5 linked regions of the Callithrix jacchus genome follow. The protein of the gene in region 4 interacts with the protein of the main gene of each other region in a pairwise test. Links are inferred from orthologs where the notes say so. Each region holds a gene or a part of one and is shown on either strand. Other genes may lie near its edges.

Evidence for each region.
Region 1: the proteins of BCL2L13 (region 4) and PLN interact in binary tests that used the Homo sapiens proteins (3 or more experiments, as listed by UniProt). The two-hybrid records come from large-scale screens. The link is inferred for Callithrix jacchus from reciprocal best matches to the Homo sapiens genes BCL2L13 and PLN.
Region 2: the proteins of BCL2L13 (region 4) and TMEM86B interact in binary tests that used the Homo sapiens proteins (3 or more experiments, as listed by UniProt). The two-hybrid records come from large-scale screens. The link is inferred for Callithrix jacchus from reciprocal best matches to the Homo sapiens genes BCL2L13 and TMEM86B.
Region 3: the proteins of BCL2L13 (region 4) and GABARAPL2 interact in binary tests that used the Homo sapiens proteins (3 or more experiments, as listed by UniProt). The two-hybrid records come from large-scale screens. The link is inferred for Callithrix jacchus from reciprocal best matches to the Homo sapiens genes BCL2L13 and GABARAPL2.
Region 5: the proteins of BCL2L13 (region 4) and PLP1 interact in binary tests that used the Homo sapiens proteins (3 or more experiments, as listed by UniProt). The two-hybrid records come from large-scale screens. The link is inferred for Callithrix jacchus from reciprocal best matches to the Homo sapiens genes BCL2L13 and PLP1.

What each region holds. Positions count from the first base shown.
Region 1 is NC_133505.1:124,886,328-124,889,510, reverse strand, and holds the end of PLN (phospholamban), read right to left. Parts: intron 2,440-3,183; 5' UTR 2,345-2,439; coding exon 2,186-2,344; 3' UTR 838-2,185; downstream 1-837. UniProt on the Homo sapiens protein: Reversibly inhibits the activity of ATP2A2/SERCA2 in cardiac sarcoplasmic reticulum by decreasing the apparent affinity of the ATPase for Ca(2+).
Region 2 is NC_133523.1:48,094,329-48,098,502, forward strand, and holds TMEM86B (lysoplasmalogenase TMEM86B), read right to left. Parts: upstream 2,953-4,174; 5' UTR 2,921-2,952; coding exon 2,870-2,920; intron 2,618-2,869; coding exon 2,371-2,617; intron 1,745-2,370; coding exon 1,362-1,744; 3' UTR 816-1,361; downstream 1-815. UniProt on the Homo sapiens protein: Catalyzes the hydrolysis of the vinyl ether bond of choline or ethanolamine lysoplasmalogens, forming fatty aldehyde and glycerophosphocholine or glycerophosphoethanolamine, respectively and is specific for the sn-2-deacylated (lyso) form of plasmalogen.
Region 3 is NC_133521.1:32,970,991-32,975,388, reverse strand, and holds the start of GABARAPL2 (gamma-aminobutyric acid receptor-associated protein-like 2), read right to left. Parts: upstream 2,942-4,398; 5' UTR 2,833-2,941; coding exon 2,799-2,832; intron 2,471-2,798; coding exon 2,415-2,470; intron 1,298-2,414; coding exon 1,125-1,297; intron 1-1,124. UniProt on the Homo sapiens protein: Ubiquitin-like modifier involved in intra-Golgi traffic. Modulates intra-Golgi transport through coupling between NSF activity and SNAREs activation. It first stimulates the ATPase activity of NSF which in turn stimulates the association with GOSR1.
Region 4 is NC_133502.1:212,820,103-212,823,959, reverse strand, and holds part of BCL2L13 (bcl-2-like protein 13), read right to left. Parts: intron 2,749-3,857; coding exon 2,605-2,748; intron 1-2,604. UniProt on the Homo sapiens protein: May promote the activation of caspase-3 and apoptosis.
Region 5 is NC_133524.1:99,825,152-99,829,622, reverse strand, and holds the start of PLP1 (myelin proteolipid protein), read right to left. Parts: upstream 2,815-4,471; 5' UTR 2,693-2,814; coding exon 2,689-2,692; intron 1-2,688.

The sequences.
Region 1 (3,183 bases), on a different chromosome or scaffold from region 4:
TTATAGAACTTGGATACTTTTTGTATTGGTAATTTACTAAAACCAGTAAGGTGAGTGTATTACCTGTTGTTTATAAGCTTTGTACTTGTTATTAGGGATTTCCAACTTGTAGATGAGGCTTCACTTAAGAAATCTCTGCCTATCGGTTATTCAGGTATCCCTGAACCAAACCTTTTCCACTTCCATCTCTAGTACCTCTCATGTTTCCAGAAAATTTAATAATCTCTCCTTCACTATTCAGTTAGCAGCACTTGTATAAGAAACTAAGATCAATATTGATGCTTCATATTCTTTTAGTAACCATGTTTTAGAGGATATGGTTAATTACATATCCTCTGCCCTTTTAATAATAGTTATATTAGTAACCTGTCTTCAGTTGGAATTAAAATTGTTGAATTATACAGTTTAGACTAAATTTTAAACTTTAGTCACCTTAAATTACCAAATTTTGGTGAATATATTTGCCAGCACTAAATTTTACTTCAGTTGTTTTGTGAGTTATTGGAAGATGTTCTGAAATGATCAGAGGAGAAATTGAAAATTTATTCATCAAGAAAATAGTTATAGATAGCATTGTTAGACCTATAATTTAGCTTAGTAGAGTGGCCTACAAAATAGATGTTTACCATTTAATTGATAGATTAAGGAAAATAGCTATATCCTATTATAGTTGATGCTAGAATGACAAGAACTTTAACTGAGACGGTCCACTTATACATGAATTTTCTTTTCCCCCACTCCCCACACCCCTAAGACAAGAGTGCAAGACCAATCCCTTCTCTTCCTTCCCATCTTTCTCCTCCGCCTATTCAATGTGAAGACAATGAGAATGAAGACTTTTATGTTGACCCACTTCCATTTAATGAATAGTAAATATATTTTCTCTTTCTTATGATTTTCTAAATAAGATTTTTTTCTCTAGCTTACTTTATTGTAGGAATAGAGTATATAATACACATAACATGCAAAATATGTGTTAATTTACGGTTTATGTTATTAGTAAGGTTTATGGTCAATAGTGGGCTATTAGTAGTTAAGATTTTTGGGGACCCACGGATTGTCAACCCCCATATTCAAGGGTCAGCTGTAGATATAATAGTTGGACCAACAAGTTCATTTCAAAATGTAATCTAAAAATTAGTTAATATTTGGAGAGAAAATTCATATTTTTATTTTTTTAAATACTTGAGATAACCTTTTTCTGTCACTGGAAATCTTTTATTATTTTCTTTGCCTGCATTGGATGTTAGGATTGAATAGAAAACAAACTGTAAAATAATTCTGAAGTCTTACGGTTTCATGATTCCATAGACATGGCAAGTTAGGTAACTCCAGCTCAGGTAACTCACTACAGTGCCTTAAAGGAAGATTAGATTCTATTCTGTTAGTACATTAGTGATTATGACTAATCACACTGTCAGATGTTAACCACCAATTCTCGTCTGTTGATCATAATATCTTAGAGCAGATTTATGGTTTACTTACATGGACTAGAATTCTGTAATTCTTTGAAAAAATTACTTAAGAGGAATTTTATTATGTAAGAGTATGGCCTTACTTTGCCATACTTGATTCTCATCAACTTTAAAAAATGTTAATGTGGCATAGAAAAAATACAATTTCTGTTTTAGAATATAGATAGATACTGGTAGTTACTACAAAGAGTTTTTTATAATAAGATAGCAGATATAAGGAGTTAGTGGACCATTTTGAATAATGACACTGCATTTGTATTATTACGTTGATACTTGGTGAAGACCTGAAAAATACTTAATACTAAAGAAACTTTTACAGTGTAATATAAATTATATTTACCTCAAAAGAGTAAAAATAATGCTTTACATATGAAGTGAACTTGTTGGCAGTGCAGTTTCAGAACTATTATTTTATCTTCAGAAAAGATTTGGGATAGAAATTTGTGAGCCATGTTGAGGAAATCAACAGGTAAATTTTATATACCTTTTAAAAGATTATTTTGTGAAAATAAAGCCCTTTTCATGTTTACAAGATCCAGCAGATGAATACATGTGCTACTAATGAGTTTTAGTCTTAATCTTGACCTTTTCACAAAGAAACTCTTCTACTCAGGAAGTGGTATGTTACACAGTATTGTTTTCCGTCTGCATGGGATGACAAATTTTAAGCTGATGTGGTAAGTTGCAGCTCTAGAGGTTGTAGCAGAACTTCAGAGAAGCATCACGATGATACAGATCAGCAAGAGACATATTAAGATGAGACAGAAATTGATAAATAGGTTCTGTAGATTTTGACGTGCTTGTTGAGGCATTTCAATGGTTGAGGCTCTTCTTATAGCTGAGCGAGTGAGGTATTGGACTTTCTCCATGACACCAACAGGAGAGGAAGTCTGAAGTTTTAAGCGGTCAAGAGAAAGAAAAAGCTGGCAGCCAAATATGAGATAACTGTCTTCTTTTAGGTAGCCTTGAATGTAAAAATAATAAATGGATTAGAATCATATATGTAACCTATTCTCAGAACAAAAAATACAATTTTTCATTAATTCATCTTTCTCAGCACTGTTGTATTTATAACATCAAATGTTTCTGGTGCTTGTGCATGTACGTGTGTGTGTGTGTATGTATGTGTGTGAGAGCACGCACGTGCGTGTGTTCCTTTGTATCTGTCTTTCTCTCCTTTTTTGATGGGGCGCACCATGACAGTCTCATTTGTGTTAGTAGTAGTAACTTCATTCTTTGCCTTTTCTGCCAGATTTACTAGAAGTATTGCAGTAATCCTCAGTGTCATCCATAGGTTCCTGAAAACCATGACTTTATGCAAAACAACTATAATGAAACCATTTTTACTCTAGGCTGATTGATGTAAACAAGAGTTAAGTTCCTATGGCATATTTCTGGTCAAAAAAACATCACCAAACTTCTCAATAAAGACCCCGAACACTTCTAATATTAAATGTTGAAAGAAATATGAACTATATATACATTTAAGAAAGATTAATAAAAACCAGATAGGCCAGATGCAGTGGCTCACACCTGTAATCCCAGCATTTTGGAATGCCAAGGTGGGCAGATCGCTGAAGGCAGGAGTTTGAGACCAGCCTTGCCAACATGATGAAACCCTGTCTCTACTGAAAATACAAAAATTATCCAGGCTGGTGGCATTCACCTGTAATCCTAGCTACTCGGGAGGATTGCTGGAGGCTGGGAG
Region 2 (4,174 bases), on a different chromosome or scaffold from region 4:
GTCACCTCTCTGCTATAAGAATCCCCAAAGGCTGGACATGGAGAAGTCGCCTCTCTGCTATAAGAATCCCCAAAGGCTGGACATGGATGGAGAAGTCTCCTCTCTGCTGTAAGAGTCCCTAATGCTGGCCAGGGATGGAGAAGTCACCTCCCTGCTATATGAGTAACTAAAGGCACATCATGGATGTGGAAGTCAAGTAGGGTCTTGGAGAGCATCTTGGACCCTGTCACGTCCTCAGATGCAGAATCTAAACACCAGAGAGGGACAGCAACTTGCCAAGGTCACAGAGCCAAGGCAAGGAACACACCTCCGTTCCTCTTTCCTATTTGATTCCTCCCCCTTGTCACCCTCCCCTCCTCCAAGGCCCCTACCCTTGTCCCCTGATACTGCATGTGACTGTAGTGGGTTGTGTCCCCTAAGCAGATATGTCTGAGTCCTAAGCCCAGGTGCCTATACAGGTGACAGTACTTAGAAACAGGGTCTCTGCAGACATAGTTAAGCATCTCGAGATAGAATCACCTGGGTTTAGGGTGGGCTTGAAGACAATCACATAAAGATGGGAGAGACACAGCCGCCACATGCCAAGAGAAGCCAGTGATTCCTGGGAGCCTCCGGAAGCTAAGAGGGCAAGGACGGATTCTTCCCCAGAGCCTCAGGAGAGAGCAAGGGCCGGAAAACACCCTGATCTTGGACTTTGGGTCTCCAGAGCTGCAGGAGAGCCCATTCCTCATTTCAAAGCACCTGGTTTGGGGTAATTTGTGACGGCAACCCCAGGAAACAAATGCAGAGGCTCAGCAGTGCTCTTGGCTCAGTTCTGCACAATCCTCACCTTTATCCCTTCAAATGCCCCCCACTAGAGAGCCACGGAGGGTCCCACTGGGCACCAGGCCTGGCTCATGGGGAGTGACCGAGACGTCCGCTGCCATGATCCAAGATGGTTCATCGCCACAGTCACCCTCCACATGCCTCTCCCACAGTGACAGCAGCACCTACACTTCCACGCCCTGTACTTAGACAACGAAACCGACTCAGAGCAGCCAGGAGGGGCCGGCGGACCGTGGGGCCCACAGCGAACTCGGAGGCGGGCTGGTGGCTGGGAGGGCCGCATGTGGGCCTGGCTGAGGAGCCGGGGATCTGGAGTCAGAACTGGGGGAAGGCAGCTGGAACCCCACAGTGGACTCGGAATTCCGTGAATGGTCCTTAAACATCTTCAGCCGGGAGCAGCGGCGGCGGGGCCTGCGCCTGCAGACAGGCGTGAGGAAGCTTTGCTGTGGAGGGTACTTCTCAGGCTGGGCTGGTCTGGGAGGCCCGAGTCCTTGCGGGAGGAGAGGGCCTGGAAGCTCGCCCTTCAAGCTGCCTAGTCAGTCCGTCTTGGGCCCCGGGCTCCTGGGGGCCGACAGTGTGATGAGGAGCTGGGCAGCGTAGTAGGTGGTCATGATCGCCAGGCGAGCGTGAGGCAGGGGCTGGGCGAAGGCGTCCCAGGCCAGCACACCATCAGAGAGTGTGAAGAGCAGCGCGCCCCAGCCGGCACTCCCGCCCCAGACCAGGCCACGCCACAGCATGGCCATCAGGATCAGCCCGTAGGCTGCCACGGGCAGGACCATATCCAGCTCAAGGTGCAGCAGCATGAGGATGAGGTAGGGGCCAGAGGCCAGGAAGATGAGCAGTAGCAGACCCGGCTTCGGGGGAGAGAGGCCAAAGGCCCAGAGGTAGAGGAGGTGGGCTGTAGCGAAGGCAGCTACACCTGGGGAGAGGGGTGGGTGCCAGTAAGGAAGGCTCATTCTGGTATCGCCCCGAGGTCACCCCTCAGGACCTAAGGGGAAGGATCGGCCCAAAGCACCAGCCCCAACCCTGGCTGAGCCTCCTTGCAGGCCTCCCCAAATGCAGTGTCATGTACTTGCTTTGCTCTGAACTGCCGGCAGGTCCCATCTTCCCTTGGCCTCCAAAGCCCCGTGCCCTCCGGCCCACCAGCCACCCTGGCCTGTTTGGCCACAAGCTGGCATGCCCCTGCCCTGGAGCCTCTGCACTTGCCCTTCGCCCTCACAGGCACATGGCACCTTCTTCAGGTCTGCCAAAATGTGACTTCCTCAGTGAAGCCTTCCTCAGCAACCCTGCTTCAAACTGCAGCACCTCCAGCCCAGGGTCCTCACTGTCCTCCACGCCACTCCCAGCTACTGCCTTACCACCACCTGCCCACCAGCCCTCACTGGAACGTGAGCTGCCTGGCTCACGGCTGTGCCTCCAACGCCTCTGACCACCAGAACTCCCATCAAAACGCCCACTGGAGCCCTCTGCACTCCAGGCTCCCATCCAAGTGCTGGGCCTCCCCGACACGGGCATCTGAAAGGCGTCATGGCAGCTTCTACTCACCATGGAGGAAGGCTTCAGGCCAGATGAGGCAGGCGTCCCCCACAGCCGAGCACAGGAGGGCTCCCTGGAGGAGCCGAGTGTAGCTCCCGCCTGGGGACACAACCCACAGGAACCCAGCCAGGCAGAAGATGGGCAGGCACTTGACCAGGGCAGCGACCCAGGACGGCTGGTCCTCGGGAATCCAGAGGCAGAAGTACACGCAGCAGGAGAGGATGAAGGGAATCAGCCACTTGCAGACATCTAGGCACTTTGGGAAGCAGGGAGCTGCTGAGCTGAAGCCCAGCCCAGCCCCCGTTCTTAGGACTCAGATCTCCTGGCTCCTGTCCCACCCCCACCTGGGACCCCAGCTGTCCAGGCTGGACCCATTCAGGTACCAGGCTGCCAGAACCCAGCTTCCCAGGACCCCAGCCAATTCACGGACAGCACCTCCCAGACCCCCCAGCTGCTAGGGTTCTGGGCCCTATCCCCCAGCCCCAGGCATGGCTCTGAAGGCTCTCACCTGGGCTGAGCAGTGAGTCTTCAGGGTCGACCCTGCTTTGCCAGCATCCATGCTGGCCTGATACCCTCAGAGCGACCTAATCTGGGAGTGGGTAGCTCCAGGGGGTGGAGGGGAGGGCTCATGGTTACACGTTAACCCAATGAGCGTCCTGTGGACTCTGCAACTGATAACAGGGCCCAGGGAGATGTCGCCCTCACCCCGGGGATGGCCTTGCCTGGCACCTGCTGATAAGGCACTGTTGGCATCGGGGGTCCCTTGCCCTAGCCTGCTGGGACATGGCTTGCTCCTCCTGTCTGCTGGGGGGTGAGGTCCCCAAACGCCCATCCCATTGTCCTGGGCCCAGACAATCACAAGAGATGGAGTGCAGAATTCCAACAGCCACCCCTTCATGGGGAAGCGGGGGAGGGGGTTGGCTGGCAGGAACACTCCTGAGGGGATGGGAAGGCCAGTCCCTCCTTCACTTGCTGGACTAGCGGACCCCCTCCCTGCTCCATGAAACCTTCCCTCATTCTGCTCAACCCCACCAGGCCCTCAGGGGCTCCACCACAAACACTTCCTCAGTGGGCCACAAGGAAGGGGCCCGAAGAATGCAGGGAATAAGCACCCTCCCCTGCTAGCTGAGCCAGCCCTAGGTGACCTCCAAACCAGCTGCCACCGCAGTGAGGACACTGTCCTCATGACCCGGCCCACATGGTCCGGTGTAGCCGAGACAGAGGCTTCCTGGCACCGCTCCCCTGTTCCACTTGCTGTGCACCGGCCTACACTTCTACCTTCCGGCTCAAAGACTCAGACATACTGGGCACCACTGCCCGGCCTCAATGCTGGGCTTGGTTACCAAAGGGGGGTAGGAGCAGGGATTTGAGCCCCCGATGGCAGCTTCCATCCTCCACCCTCGGCCCTGCCCACAGGTGGGGTAGGCCTGGCAGGAGCCATCACAGCCAGTGCCTGGCCCAGCCTGTGGCCTCTGTAGCCACAGGGCTCCCTCTGGCAGGACACAGTGTGGGGGCAGACTGGGTTAGGAGTACCCCAACCGCTGGGGTACAGGGATAACACAGGCTGCCCTCCCCGCATCCCAGAATGTACGGTCTGACCAGCAGAATCGTAAACTGTCTTCCTTTATTTATATTTGCAATATGAAATAGAAGCTCGGCACGAACGCACACACACTCACACCAGCCTGGGAGGAAGGAGCTTGGACAAGGCCACTTGGCAACAGGGCTGGGACCCCAGACCCTCAGGGACCCTGGGGGTGTTGCCGGGGAGGCCCCTGCTCCCCAGAGCCGGGCTGGCCTGGTTGAAAGTGCA
Region 3 (4,398 bases), on a different chromosome or scaffold from region 4:
CTGGGCTATCTCCTCAGGTTGGACACTGGCCTTAGGGAAGGAGCTTCCATTTCTCCCCTGCCTTTCTACCAGACACCAGGAAGTGGAGGTGGTAGAGACTGGGAAACAGGTAATCAGACCAAAAAATAGCCAGAGCTTTCCACCTTTAACAGAAATAAAGTCTGGAATTTGGCACGGGCCTCTTAGGAAGTCTTCAAGGATTTTCAACAGGAACCTATCTGGGCAACATTGGGCTAGTTCCCAGGGCTTCTGAAAGCCTTCACTTTTAGAAGTATTACTTCTGGGGGTGGTAAATGAAACCTACTTTGGGTCACTAAGGTAAGATGTGGCCAGGAACTCACACTCAGGGGAGAGGTGAGGGCCAGAATCTGGATCAGAGCCTAGAACTACCCACTCAGTAACAGGAAAGGACTGACCAGGAGCTTAGACGGAGCCTGTCCATTTTCCTCATTCCAGAGGGGACTAAAGCTGGGCTGTCAAATACACAGAAAATGGAAATTCTAATGCCCCTGCCTACATTCGGGCTGCAAGTTACACTCCCAAAGACTGCTTCCAGGCAGCACCATAGTCTGACAGTCAAAGCAGGTGCTACCAAGGAAGGTTTAAGTCTGTAAAGAGACTTCAGAGCCCTTTACTGTGCTGCAGTCATTTTGTCAGACTTGAGGATCAGACAGCTATAGACTCTTACAATGGCAGAGAGCTGACGAAGTTTGGGAGCACGCAAACCGCTTGATTAACTGAGTAAGCCTCAGCAGAACCCACAGGTTCCCAGTGGAGGAGAGTGGCCAGACTGTCTTCAGGGAAGAAAACCTCATTTCAGGCATCAGTTCTACCTATGGCTTAAGCCTAAATAAGTCCTCAATGTTTTAAAAGATTCTTGGAGGTCTCAGGCTGAGTTTCATCCCTTTTTTAGAAGTCCAGGCCTTGTTCTATTTTCCGAATCTAAAATGCACCCTTATGTATTGCAGCCGTTATTTTCCTGGAGCCCCTGATGTCAGGGAGCACAAAATCCAGATTTCTAGTCAGAACCCCCAAGAGTTTTCAGACCTCCAAAGTTTTTGAGTTCTCTAAGCAGCCAACCAGATGTCTAACACCAGAGGACCCATCTAGTAAACACCTCTCACCTGGACTGTGGGACTGTCTTATCCACAAACAGGAAGATCGCCTTTTCAGAAGGAAGCTGGATCCTTTTCCTGATGATCCACATGAACTGAGCCACAGTGATATCAGATGGAACCAAGTACTTCCGTTTGTCAATGTCAACAATCTGAGAGCCTGAGACCTTTTCCACAATCACCTGGGAAAATAAAGAGAGGTCAGGACTGGGTTTCTAAAGCCAGGCTCTGGCCTCAAGGCTGAGGAGCTGAGGAACAGAGTGTGGGCAAGGAGGTGGGTGGGAAACTGCATAGCAGGAGAAAATATGTCTTTGGCTTAATAACCACATGCTCTGGAGGTTAAGAATTGATATAAATGGGTTATAGGGAAACGGTAAGTGCTTTTCTGTGGTCAGTTATGTAAGAAAAATGCAGCCCTTACTACTAAGCTTTTCCACATTTTATCTGGGCAGACCTAAGAATATGTGGGGATCCACATCCATAGCCCATTACTCCAGGACCCCAGAATGGATCCCCTTCACACTACAGGAAACACTACTGTGTTCCCAAGGAACACAGGAGACAAGAACAGATGGACTAATGGGAATGCCTGGAATTTCAGCCAGCCAAGAACCAAGCTCTTCATTTGGCCTGTTGCTCTTCTCTGAACAAGTTTCAAATCCGTCCCTCCTTCCCCCAACGGAATTATTCACAAGCAAAGAGCTACAATAACAGGCCTTAATGTCCATTAAAAATTAACAAGAATTACAAAACTATCTCCCCAAACATGGAAAAAATATATTTACTACTGACTAGGAAGAAAGCATAACAGAAAAGGGTTTTCAGCGGCTTCTCACATTGTTTTGGTCAGGCAGGGATGACAGGGTCAAGGTGAGGCAACGGAGCCAGAATTTGGGTAAAGATGGAGGCTCCAAGTAAAAGGTGAAGGTCCTGAGACTCAAGTACCACTTCCAAGACCAAAGTGACAGTCTCCCTCCACCACCGTTCCCAAAAGTGGCAGTGACCTGTTGCCCTGTCCTAGAACATCGTTCCTTACATAATTGGCCAGGGAGCCCCGAGGCTGCAGACAGCTCTCGCTGGCCTAGATCCGGAGATTCAGCACTGAGGCACCCTGAACAGCACCAGCCCGAGCCCCTCACGCCCCGGCCCTGGGCGGCCTCATCGCAGTCTGGCCCGTCCTCTACTACAACTGGGAATGGAACCTCAACTTGTCAACTGTTGAATGGCCTAGGGCCTATCACGGCTCCCAGATGACAGAGGTGACAGCGAGGTGAGGGGGCGGAGAGTCCAATCACTCACCGGAACCCGGTCAGGATATTTCGCTCGGATCTTCGCGGACTCCACGCATCTGTGTTCTGTGGCAGAAACAAACAGGGCTGACGGCCGCGCCTGCCCACAGGTCGGTTCCGGGCCCTCGGCCCTCCTCCTCCTGCGCCTTGCGCACAGCCCAGGCCCTCGTTCCGGCGTCCCCACGGCCGCGGTCCTGTCCCCTAGCTCCCAGGGGGGTCCGCGGAGAGTGACGCGGGGTCGAGGGACGGCTGCTCGTGGCACCGGAGCCTTGGCGGCTCGAGCCCGGAGCGCGGCATACGTCCTGCTTCACCCGGCCCAGGGCCGCCCGAGTGGGGGAGGGGGCCCACCTGCCGCCGCGGCCCCCCGCGGCCGGTCCGATGGCCAAGTGCTTACCCAAAGAGTGGTCCTCCTTGAACATCCACTTCATGGCGGCGGCGGGGAGGGGATGGAACCGGCTCTCGGAGCCGTGGAACTCGGCGTACCGACCACAACAACAACGGCGGCGGCGGTAGCAGCGACGGAGGCGACTACACGGCAGGCGGGACTTCCGGCTGCTGGAGCCTAGCAACCGGTCAGGGGCGGGGCTTCCGGCGCCACTGGCCAGGAAGCTATGCCAAGGGGCGGGGCCGCACGTAGTCACGGAGGGCTCCTTCTGGGGGCTACTAGGCTGCGGAGGCGGTGAAGTTGGTTACGGGGGCGTCTGTGAGCAATATCGGCGACCCCAGGAAGAAATGTTCGGGGAACTGGTGACAGGAGTGGGGTCTCGGGAGTGTTTGTGGCGGGAAGCGTCTGGCTGATAGTGTATGGCTCTGAGGGCTCTTTGGGGGTGTGGCTGATAGTTGAGGGCTCTTAGAGCGTTTATAGGGGAGGTCTGAATAGGGAATTGGTGACAAGAACGGTCTTTGGGAGTAAGAATGACTTAAGGGGAGTCTCTAGTGCTTGGCGATGACAAGGGAGCTGTTTTGGGCGTTGACAGTTTGGGGGTTATTGCTCGGAGTGGTGACAGGGTGGGGGCACAGTATGGGAGGGGTGGTGTTTGAGGACACTGTGTAGGAAGCAGCACTGAGGACAACCTGGACGTCCAGTATTAGGGACAGCGGTAATAGGTTGCCTTGGACCTAGAAATTGAATTTAAACAAATCCCATTTTCTTCCCTTATTCGTGAATCTATTTGAATAAACATTTACGAAATGCACATTCGAGGTAGGACGTGGTGGCTCCCGCCAGTAATCCCAACACTTTGGGAAGCCGAGGCAGGAGGATCCCCTGAGGTCAGGAGTTCGAGACCAGACTGGCCAACAGGGTAAAACCCCATTTCTACTAAAAATACAAAAATTAGCCAGGCATGGTGGCACACACCTGTAGTCCCACCTCCTTGGGAGGCTGTGGCTGGAGAATCGTTTGAACCCGGGAAGCGGAGGTTGCAGTGAGCCAAGATGGCCTGGGTGGGAACAAGACTCTGTCTCAAAAACAAACAGACAAACAAATGCACATTTGAAGAGTATAACATAACTGATCACAGACCCTTTAACCTTAACTGGCAGAGGAGTTAGAGGTGACAGTCAGGCTTGGAGAATTCCCCTGAGAGCTGGTCATGAGATGGGTTTCCTTGTTTGGCTGTGGGAGTGGTTTAGCAGTCACAGCCCAAGCTGTGTGTGTCACCTGCCCAGACATATGCCTTGAGGTTCTCCAGCCAGTGATGTAATGCCTTTCTTCCAAGCAGAGTCATCAAGGCAGTCTGGTCTAGGTCACCATCTGTTTATAAGCTGCTGAGCACGTAGCAAGAATATTCACTTAATTTGGGCACATGAACCCTGCCACATGCTTGTGATTCTGATGCACCTGTAAAGCCTGTATGTTTGAACATGCTAGTTCATCATTTCCTACACTGGAAATTCCCAATTGATGCTGTGGAATCTAGCTTCATTCTAAAAGTATTTTTGTTATTTTAAGACTGTGTGTCTGACCAATCAGAATAGGTTTTATGTTTGTT
Region 4 (3,857 bases):
AGAGGAACAGAAGGAGGGAGGGAGGGATTAAAGAGTAGGAGGGAAGGAGGGAGGGAGAAAGGGAAGATTCAGTTCAGCTAAGTAAGAAAAAAACATGAAATCCTAAGCAGAAGCTCTAATCGGTCTCAAACATATACATTTATTTGGAAAGGATTTTCATTAATGTAATTTTTAATACAGAAGGATTTCAAACCGTCTTCAATCCCTTAGGAACGTTTTAAAAAAAATAGGGTTCATCCATACTATTTAGCTACTATAAAAAAAAAAATATGGCCAGGCATGGTGGCTCACACCTGTAATCCTAGCACTTTGGGAAGCCAAGGCAGGAAGACAGCTTGAGCTCAGGAGTTTGAGACCATCCTGGGTAACATAGAAAGACCCTGTCCCTTGTTATTTAAAAAAATAATAATTTTGGGAGGGGGAGGTGGGGAGGGATAGCCAGGGGAGAAATGCCAAATGTGGGTGAAGGGGAGAAGGAAAGAAAAGCACACTGCCATGTGTGTTCCTACGCAACTGTCTTGCATGCTCTGCTCATGTACCCCAAAACCTAAAATCCAATAAAAAATTTAAAAAAAAAATAATAATAATAATTTTTTTTTTTTTTTGAGACAGAGTTTTGCTCTGTTGCCAGGCACCAGGCTGGAGTGCAATGGCACAATCTTGACTCCCTGCAACCTACACCTCGCAGGTTCAAGCAATTCTCCTGCCTCAGCCTCCCGAGTAGCTGGGACTACAGGTGCCCACCACCACACCCCGCTAATTTTTGTATTCTAGTAGGGATAAGGTTTCACCATGTTGGCCCGGATGGTCTCAATCTCTTGACCTCATGTCCACCCATCTTGGCCTCCCAAAGTGCTGTGATTACAGGCATGAGTCACCATGACTGGCCAAATAATAAATATTTTAAAATAAAAATTAAAAAAGACACCAGACGTGGTGGCTCATGCCTGTAATCCCAGCACTTTGGGAGGCCAAGGCAGGCGGATCACGAGGTCAAGAGATCGAGAGCATCCTGAGCAACATGGTAAAACCCATCTCTACTAAAAGTACAAAAATTAGCTGGGTGTGGTGGTGTGTGCCTGTAGTCCCAGCTACTCGGGAGGCTGAGGCAGGAGAATCACCTGAACCCGGGAGGCGGAGGTTGCGGTGAGCCGAGGCTGCACCACTGCACTCCAGCCTGGCAACAGACTGAGACTCTGTCTCAAAGAAAAAGGAAGGAAACAGTACATTTTTAAGTATGATGTGGAAAGAAGCCCATATTGCGTAATACCTCTACATTAAAAACTACCAAGTACTACTGAGAGAAATTAAAGACATCCTTCAATATCAAAGGGATATTTGACATTTGGGGTTGGCTGGTTCAAAAAGAAAAAAATAACAGACTTTAGGACAAAAAAAAAAAACCACAGTTTTAGAGACGAAGACCATAACTATAAAAACAAAACGTTCAATTCACCAAGGGTTGACAATTATAACTTTTAGTCATCTACAACTGACAGAACTAAAGGGAAAATGGAAAATCTACTACCATCCTGACAAATCTGAACATGCCTCTCTTAGTAAATAATTAGACAAAAAAACTGGAAATGACTGAAAGATTTAAACCACATAATATTTAAATGTGAATGGACATGTATAGACCTACACCAACAATTAAAGAATATACATTCTCCTGAAACACACATAAAATATTATATATAAAATGTTATATATATTATATACATAAAATATAAAATATAAATATAAAATACAATATATAATGCATATGTTATATATATTATAGTATATTTCATATTGTATATATTATATAATATATATAACAAAAATATATATTTGTTGTTGTTGCTGCTGCTCTGTTGACCAGACTGGAGTGCAGTGGTGCAATCTCAGCTCACTACAACTTCTGCCTCCTGGGTTCCAGTGATTCTCCTGCCTCAGCCTCCCAAGTAGCTGGGATTGCAGGCACATGCCAACAGGCCCAGCTAATTTTTTGTATTTTTTAGTAGAGATGGGATTTCATCCTGTTGATCAGACTGGTCTCCTGACCTCAGGTGATCCACCTGCCTCAGCCTCCCAAAGCACTGGGATTACAGGTGTGCACCACTGGGCCCAGCCCTATATAATATATATTTTCTGACTGATCATGATAGTAAGTCATAACTCAAGTTTCAATGCCATGATGGCCGTGCTTTCTGATGAAACAGAATTAAATTAGTAATTGAAAACATAATTTTAAAACTTGTAAATATTTGGAAATTTAAAAATATATTTCTAAGTAATTCAGGTATTAAAGAATATACAAGGCAAATTTTAAAATAACTGTACAAAAATAATAAGTACATATCAAAAAGTATGGCATAGAACACGGCACAGTGGTTGGCACCTATAGTCCCAGCCTGTACTCCTGGCTATTCAGGACCTGAAGCAGGATCACCTGAGCCCACAAGTTTGAGACTGAGGCCTGCCATGACAGTGCCTGCAACTAGACACTCTACTCCAGCTGGGGTAACACAGCAAGAACCCGTCCATCTCTTAAGAAAAACAACAACAACGACGAACCTAATTTTTTTTAAGAAAATATTTTTAATGTATAACAGCTCATACCCAGCCACCTTGCTGAATGATGTACTCTGCCGAATAGTCTTCCAGATACGTCACGCCAAACTTCAGCAGTGCACTCAAAGATTCTTGACCACGCCTTGTCAACTCCAAAAGCATTTGTCGCAGCAAAACCAGAGGCACCAAAATCTTCAATGCAAAGATGAGAGAATTTAAAAAAAATACCGAAATTCTTATAATATGTTTTATATGTTCAACTACTAGAAAATTATACTTAGATACATCATTATGACATTTTATTTTCATTATATAAAAGAAATAAAACAGTAACTTCTATTATGATTTTGCTGAATAGTGCATGTAGGTTTTATACAATAGGAAGGTAGAAATAGTTATTGAAAATAATTAGGTATGTGTGTGAGAAATATAGAAGGAAATTCACTAATGCATTACTAATTATTATTATTATTATTTTTTTGAGATGGAGTCTCACTCTTTCACCCAGGCTGGAGTGCAATGGCATAATCTCAGCTCACTGCCGCCTCCGCCTCCCAGGTTCAAGTGATTCTCTGCTCAGCCTCCTGAGTAGCTGGGATGACAGGTATGCGCCATGATGCCTGGGTAATTTTTGTATTTTTAGTAGAGATGGGTTTCACCATGTTGGCCAGGCTGGTCTCAAACTCCTGGCCTGAAATTATCTACCCGACTTGGCCTCCCAAAGTGCTCGGATTATAGGCGGGTGTCACCATGCCCAGCCTAAAGCATTGTTTTTTTAATTTCTTTTTTTAGATGGAGTCTCACATTGTCACCCAGGCTGGAATGCAGTGGCGCAATTTTGGCTGCCTACAACCTCTGCCTCCTAGGTTCAAGCCATTCTCCTGCCTCAGCCTTTCGAGTGGCTGAGATTACAGGCACCCACCACCAGGCCCAGCTGATTTTTCGTATTTTTAGTAGGGATGGGGTTTTACTACGTTCGTCAGGCTGGTCTCCAACTCCTGACCTCATGATCCACCCCGCCTTGGCCTCCCAAAGTTCTGGGATTACAAACGTGAGCCACCACGCCCGGCCCAGCACTATTTATAATAGCAGAAAACTAGAAAAATAACCCAGTAGGGACTAGTTAAATAAATTATGGTCATCCAGTAAAATATGCAGCTGTTAAAAAGAATTAGATTGCTCACTACTCAATCACTAGGATTTACTTTAAGTGAAAAAAGGCAAGATATATAGTACAGTACCATTTGTATAATAAAAAGGTATACACATATATATATTTATATAATCCTACAGTATCTCCG
Region 5 (4,471 bases), on a different chromosome or scaffold from region 4:
GTGTTAAGTACATTTCTGGCTTTCCTAGCTCAGAGCCAAGGCAAAGACCCCCTAAAGCAGGGTATACCTTTCAATCTGCCTGGCTCTCCAAGAGCTCCTCTGGCTCTGCACAGCCAGAGAGAGAAGTCAGGTGGGGAAGGCTGCACTTGATTATGTTAGTCAGCGTCTCCAGGAAGACTAGTGAACATGAATATGAACATGGTGGTTTGGATCTGGTTTATTTTTGGATCCTGGCATTCTTGGTGCATTTGTGCCATTTTGATGGGATTCAGTTATTCTTCGGGCATTGTATAAAACTGGACCCCCGCTCTGCTGCTACACTTTTTGCCTGGGCTCCACCCACTTACTCCAAGCCAGCCAAAACTATACTGCTTGGCAAACAGCCACTTTTGGATGAAGGCATCACAGTCTGGTTACCAGGGTAACAGCCACTGTTCTCAGACGACAACAGGCTTACAGACAATGTTTTGCTGTTCAATAATGGCATTGTGTTACTGAGCAGAGAATAATCAGTTACTGCTCTTTGGCTCCTTTCCGGTTCCATCGTTATCCCAAAGACTTACTTGGAACATTCCCCTTTCAATCAAGGCAAAATTTAATAAGCTATCATTTTCCCCATAAACCTTTTGTGCAGACACTACTGAAGTGTTCCTCGTTGCTTCCAATCCTAAGGGATTCTATATGGTTGAGGTAGTAAGTTCCCTGTTTCTGGAGGTGATTAAGCAGAGGCTATACAAACGTTTAATTAGTTGTTGTAAAAATGAATCCCATACTGAAGGTTGGTTCAGACGACTTCTAAAGTTCCTTCCAATCCCAGATTCCAGGATACAATGTGTTTACTGCAATTGTTGAACAGCAGTGCACTCCACTTCAGAAGTAGTGGCAGTCCCGTACCTTGTTAGAGATGGTCTATAATTCAAAGTATTGTAGACACTCTATTACTGAATAAATGGAAACTCAGTGGCTGCTCCATCACATGTACCTGGCCCAAGTATCATCCACCCTTAGGAGCTGGGAACCAATGCGCATCCTCAATGGTGCCCTTATCTGTGGCAATCTTCCTCTGGAGGCAATCACCCAGCCTCCATAACAGGCAACTGTCCCTGTGGTCACCTTATTTGTTCCTACCTTTCCTCAGGGATTTCATCCTCTGAGGAAGTAATATTCAACATCCTTCTTTACTCCCTCTCTGTTTTTAATGCACAACCTAGCCAATCCGCTGGGCTGACATTAGATAAGGTTCTTGATGTTACCCAGGGCAGGAATTGAGTTCCTCCAACATTCACCTCTCACCTGGCCACACTTCATTGGTCAAATGAATCTGATCCAAGCACACAAAGAAAACCCAACCACCCCAGAAAGAGGAAGAGTCAGCCTATGTACACATTATTGTCTAATAGTAGGTATTATCATGATTTACAATTGTTATAGATCTTGCCCATTTTCAAAGACTTCCATATTATTGTTACTTGATTCTTACAACCCTGAAAATAGACAAAGTAGTTATTGCTATCTCCATTTTCCAGATGAGGAAATGGTGATTCAGTGACCTGCCCAAGGTCACGCAGTTCATAAGTAGCAGATCTGGGATTGGAATCTGATTTTTCTGACTCCTTGTCCAGTGCTCTGCCCTCCTATTTTACCTTGCACATGCTTCAAAGTGTTCTCTCAGTATTTCATGATGAAACACCTAAAGGCTGAACCAGATCAATATAATTGCAAATTGATCTCTGTGGATGCTATCTACTCGGTGCTACATTTGATAGGGAATACATGGGACAACTGAGTCTCATTTCATTTAGGATGTGTTTAAGCTGCTCTCTGTTTTGCCAAATGTGAGCAATGTCTACATGACTCTGTGAAGTCCCATAGGGACAAAGACCCTTGTGCTCTGCACACCTTACTCTGAGTAGAAACTAACACCAGAACCTCATAGCTTCTGTCTTTGTTCATGGAACCTAGAAAAGCCCTCAATACTCCACCAACTTAGCAAGAGCCCTAATGTCCCAGCAGCCTCCTTGTCATAGCAGAGAGCCCTCAGGAAAGCTATGTCTGTGATATTTGTTAGAAATAGTCACCCCTGTATGTGCACACACACATATGCACATACACACACACTCCTACCCGTATTTGTTTCCCATGGTCAAGCCATTGAGGACTTTATTTCATTTCCTGAACCTGGCAATGGCCTTCTCAGCCGTGGCCAAGCCTGAGTCCAGCTTGCCCAACCCCCAGCTTCCTACTGATGTCAAACGTAGTTCAAAGATTGCATCAAGCAAGCAATTAGTTTGTACATCTGAGGTCTAGACAGTGCTCAGTGACCTCCAGCAGAACCAGGAGAGCAAGCAGACCCAACCGTTACCAGGGCCTTGGAACCAAGGGAAAAGAGAAGATAGAGGGAAGTGAGGGGGTAGGAGGACACATGACCACATCCATCTGGCTGGGCACTCTCTCCAGAGATGTGTGTGACTCTCCACGTGCTGCTGGAATTCTTTGGTAATAAAGCATCATGCTCAGTACAGCAGAGAAGGAGTTAACCTAACTGAATGTTAAGGAATTTAAAAAGAAAACAAGTGCCAAATCACGACTCATGTAAACCATTGGAACCCCCGAACCCCAAAGTTGGAAATTCTCTTGCGAATTCCTGTGTCTGCTTGAATCTTCAATGCTAAAGTTTTTGAAACTTACCCATGTCTTTGGGACTCTGACTCCAATTGTAGCCGGCTGACTAGTCTGCTTTGTGGCTGACTTTGTTCAGCTGGAAGGATCCTGGTCTCTCCAGTCTCCTTCTTCGGTCTTTTACTTTTTCTCTCTGAGTATCTTTGTCCTCTTCTCTTGCAATGAAAAGGGCTTTCTGATTGACAGCCAACCCCCTTAAAGGGACAGGCTTGCTTTCCTCCTCCTCTCCTCCTCCCCTTCTCCTCCCCTTGTCCCCACCTCCTCAGGGATACTCCCTTTTCTAAGGGCTCCCGTCTTCTCTTTCTGCCTTTCACTACCAATTGTTTCATTGTCTTTGTTTCTCCTTTTCCCTGAGGCTTGCCTGGAATTTCACTTTGCTGCAGAGACATCTGGAAATGTGGATTGAGGGTGGAAATAAAATGAAGAGGTCCTGGAAACTTCCTTGGGTCTAATAGTGTGGGATGTGCAGTACAAGCATGAGAAGCCATCAAGTGGGAGCCCCGAGAGGGGCTCAGAGTCAAAATCCTAGATGTTAGTTCCCAAAGTCCTTCCAAATCTGCCCCAGCTCCCCACCTCACTCCCAGTTGCCCTTGGACCTCTCCACCTTTCCCTTCCCCCAACTTCTTGGAAAATAAGCATTCCTCCCCCTCACCCAGCTCTATGAACACAATAGAGAAGAAAAAACTGTCTTTTAAGATAATTTCCTCCAAATCCATTTCAGTTTCAACTGCATGAAGACAAAATGCAGGCTGTCAATTCGATGAACAGAATGTGATTAGGCTGGGGAAGGCTAGCGTTGTAATAATTTTATAGCTGCAATAATGGAGACCCAAAAGTGGACAAGAAGACCTTTGCAAGTTCGCAGACTATGCTAAAGAAAAGGCCAGAGCTGAAGATGTGGGTGATTTCCAAGGAGGAGAATCAACTTTGAGACAAGTCAAGAACACAATTAGGGAATCAGGTAGTCAACATTCCATCCTGAGAATGTAATGTCTTCATCAGAGAGCTGAAGCCAGGCAGGCGAGAGGCAGGGAGTGGGTTGAAGGGAAGCAGCAGGTGGCAGTGAGGGTGGAGAGGAGAAACGAAATATAGTCCTTGCCACAGAGAAAGAAGCAGTGAGACAAAAATGGCTAAGCAGCAAAAACAGGGAAATACTATATAAAACCTGCCTTAGCAATCAGTTATTTCTAAAGATTGTGAGGTATTTGAATGCCCAATGCTAGATGGGACCAGCCTGGGAGGGTTTTCTAGAACAGGTGAATCTTAAGCAGTGTCTGTCTGGGCTCCTTGTCAGTGTCGTGTCTCCCTTCACAGCTCCCTTGACTTAGAGGCCAGCGTCCTTCCATGGATGGCCTTTAAAAATACTGGCTGGCACATAATAAGAGGGTCACACGTTGGAAGACTCTGGAGAAGGAAGGTATGGTCTCCTGGAATGTTTTCTGTGGTTTTGCTTTGGGAGAGGAGAGAAGAGGAGGGAGATATTGAGCGGAGACTAGTACCATCCTGTTGGGGGAGAGAAGTAAAATTGTGTCTTACAGTTTTCTCTTTGGGCTATGACCTTGGACGTGCTACTGGCTTGGGCTCTGCTGTTAGGAAGTAGGTAGGTCTTCTGCAGATGCCCCTGTGGGCCCACCGGAGGCCAAATCCTGCACCGTTTGAGGCTTGCTTCGCGTCCTAGAACTGTAGATCCTTTGCTCTTATATCAGCCCCAAGAAGAAAGGACCCCTGGAAATACTGCCCCTTGCAGAACAGTATAATAGTAGCTTTCCAGAGCAGATCAGACTAAGGCCAT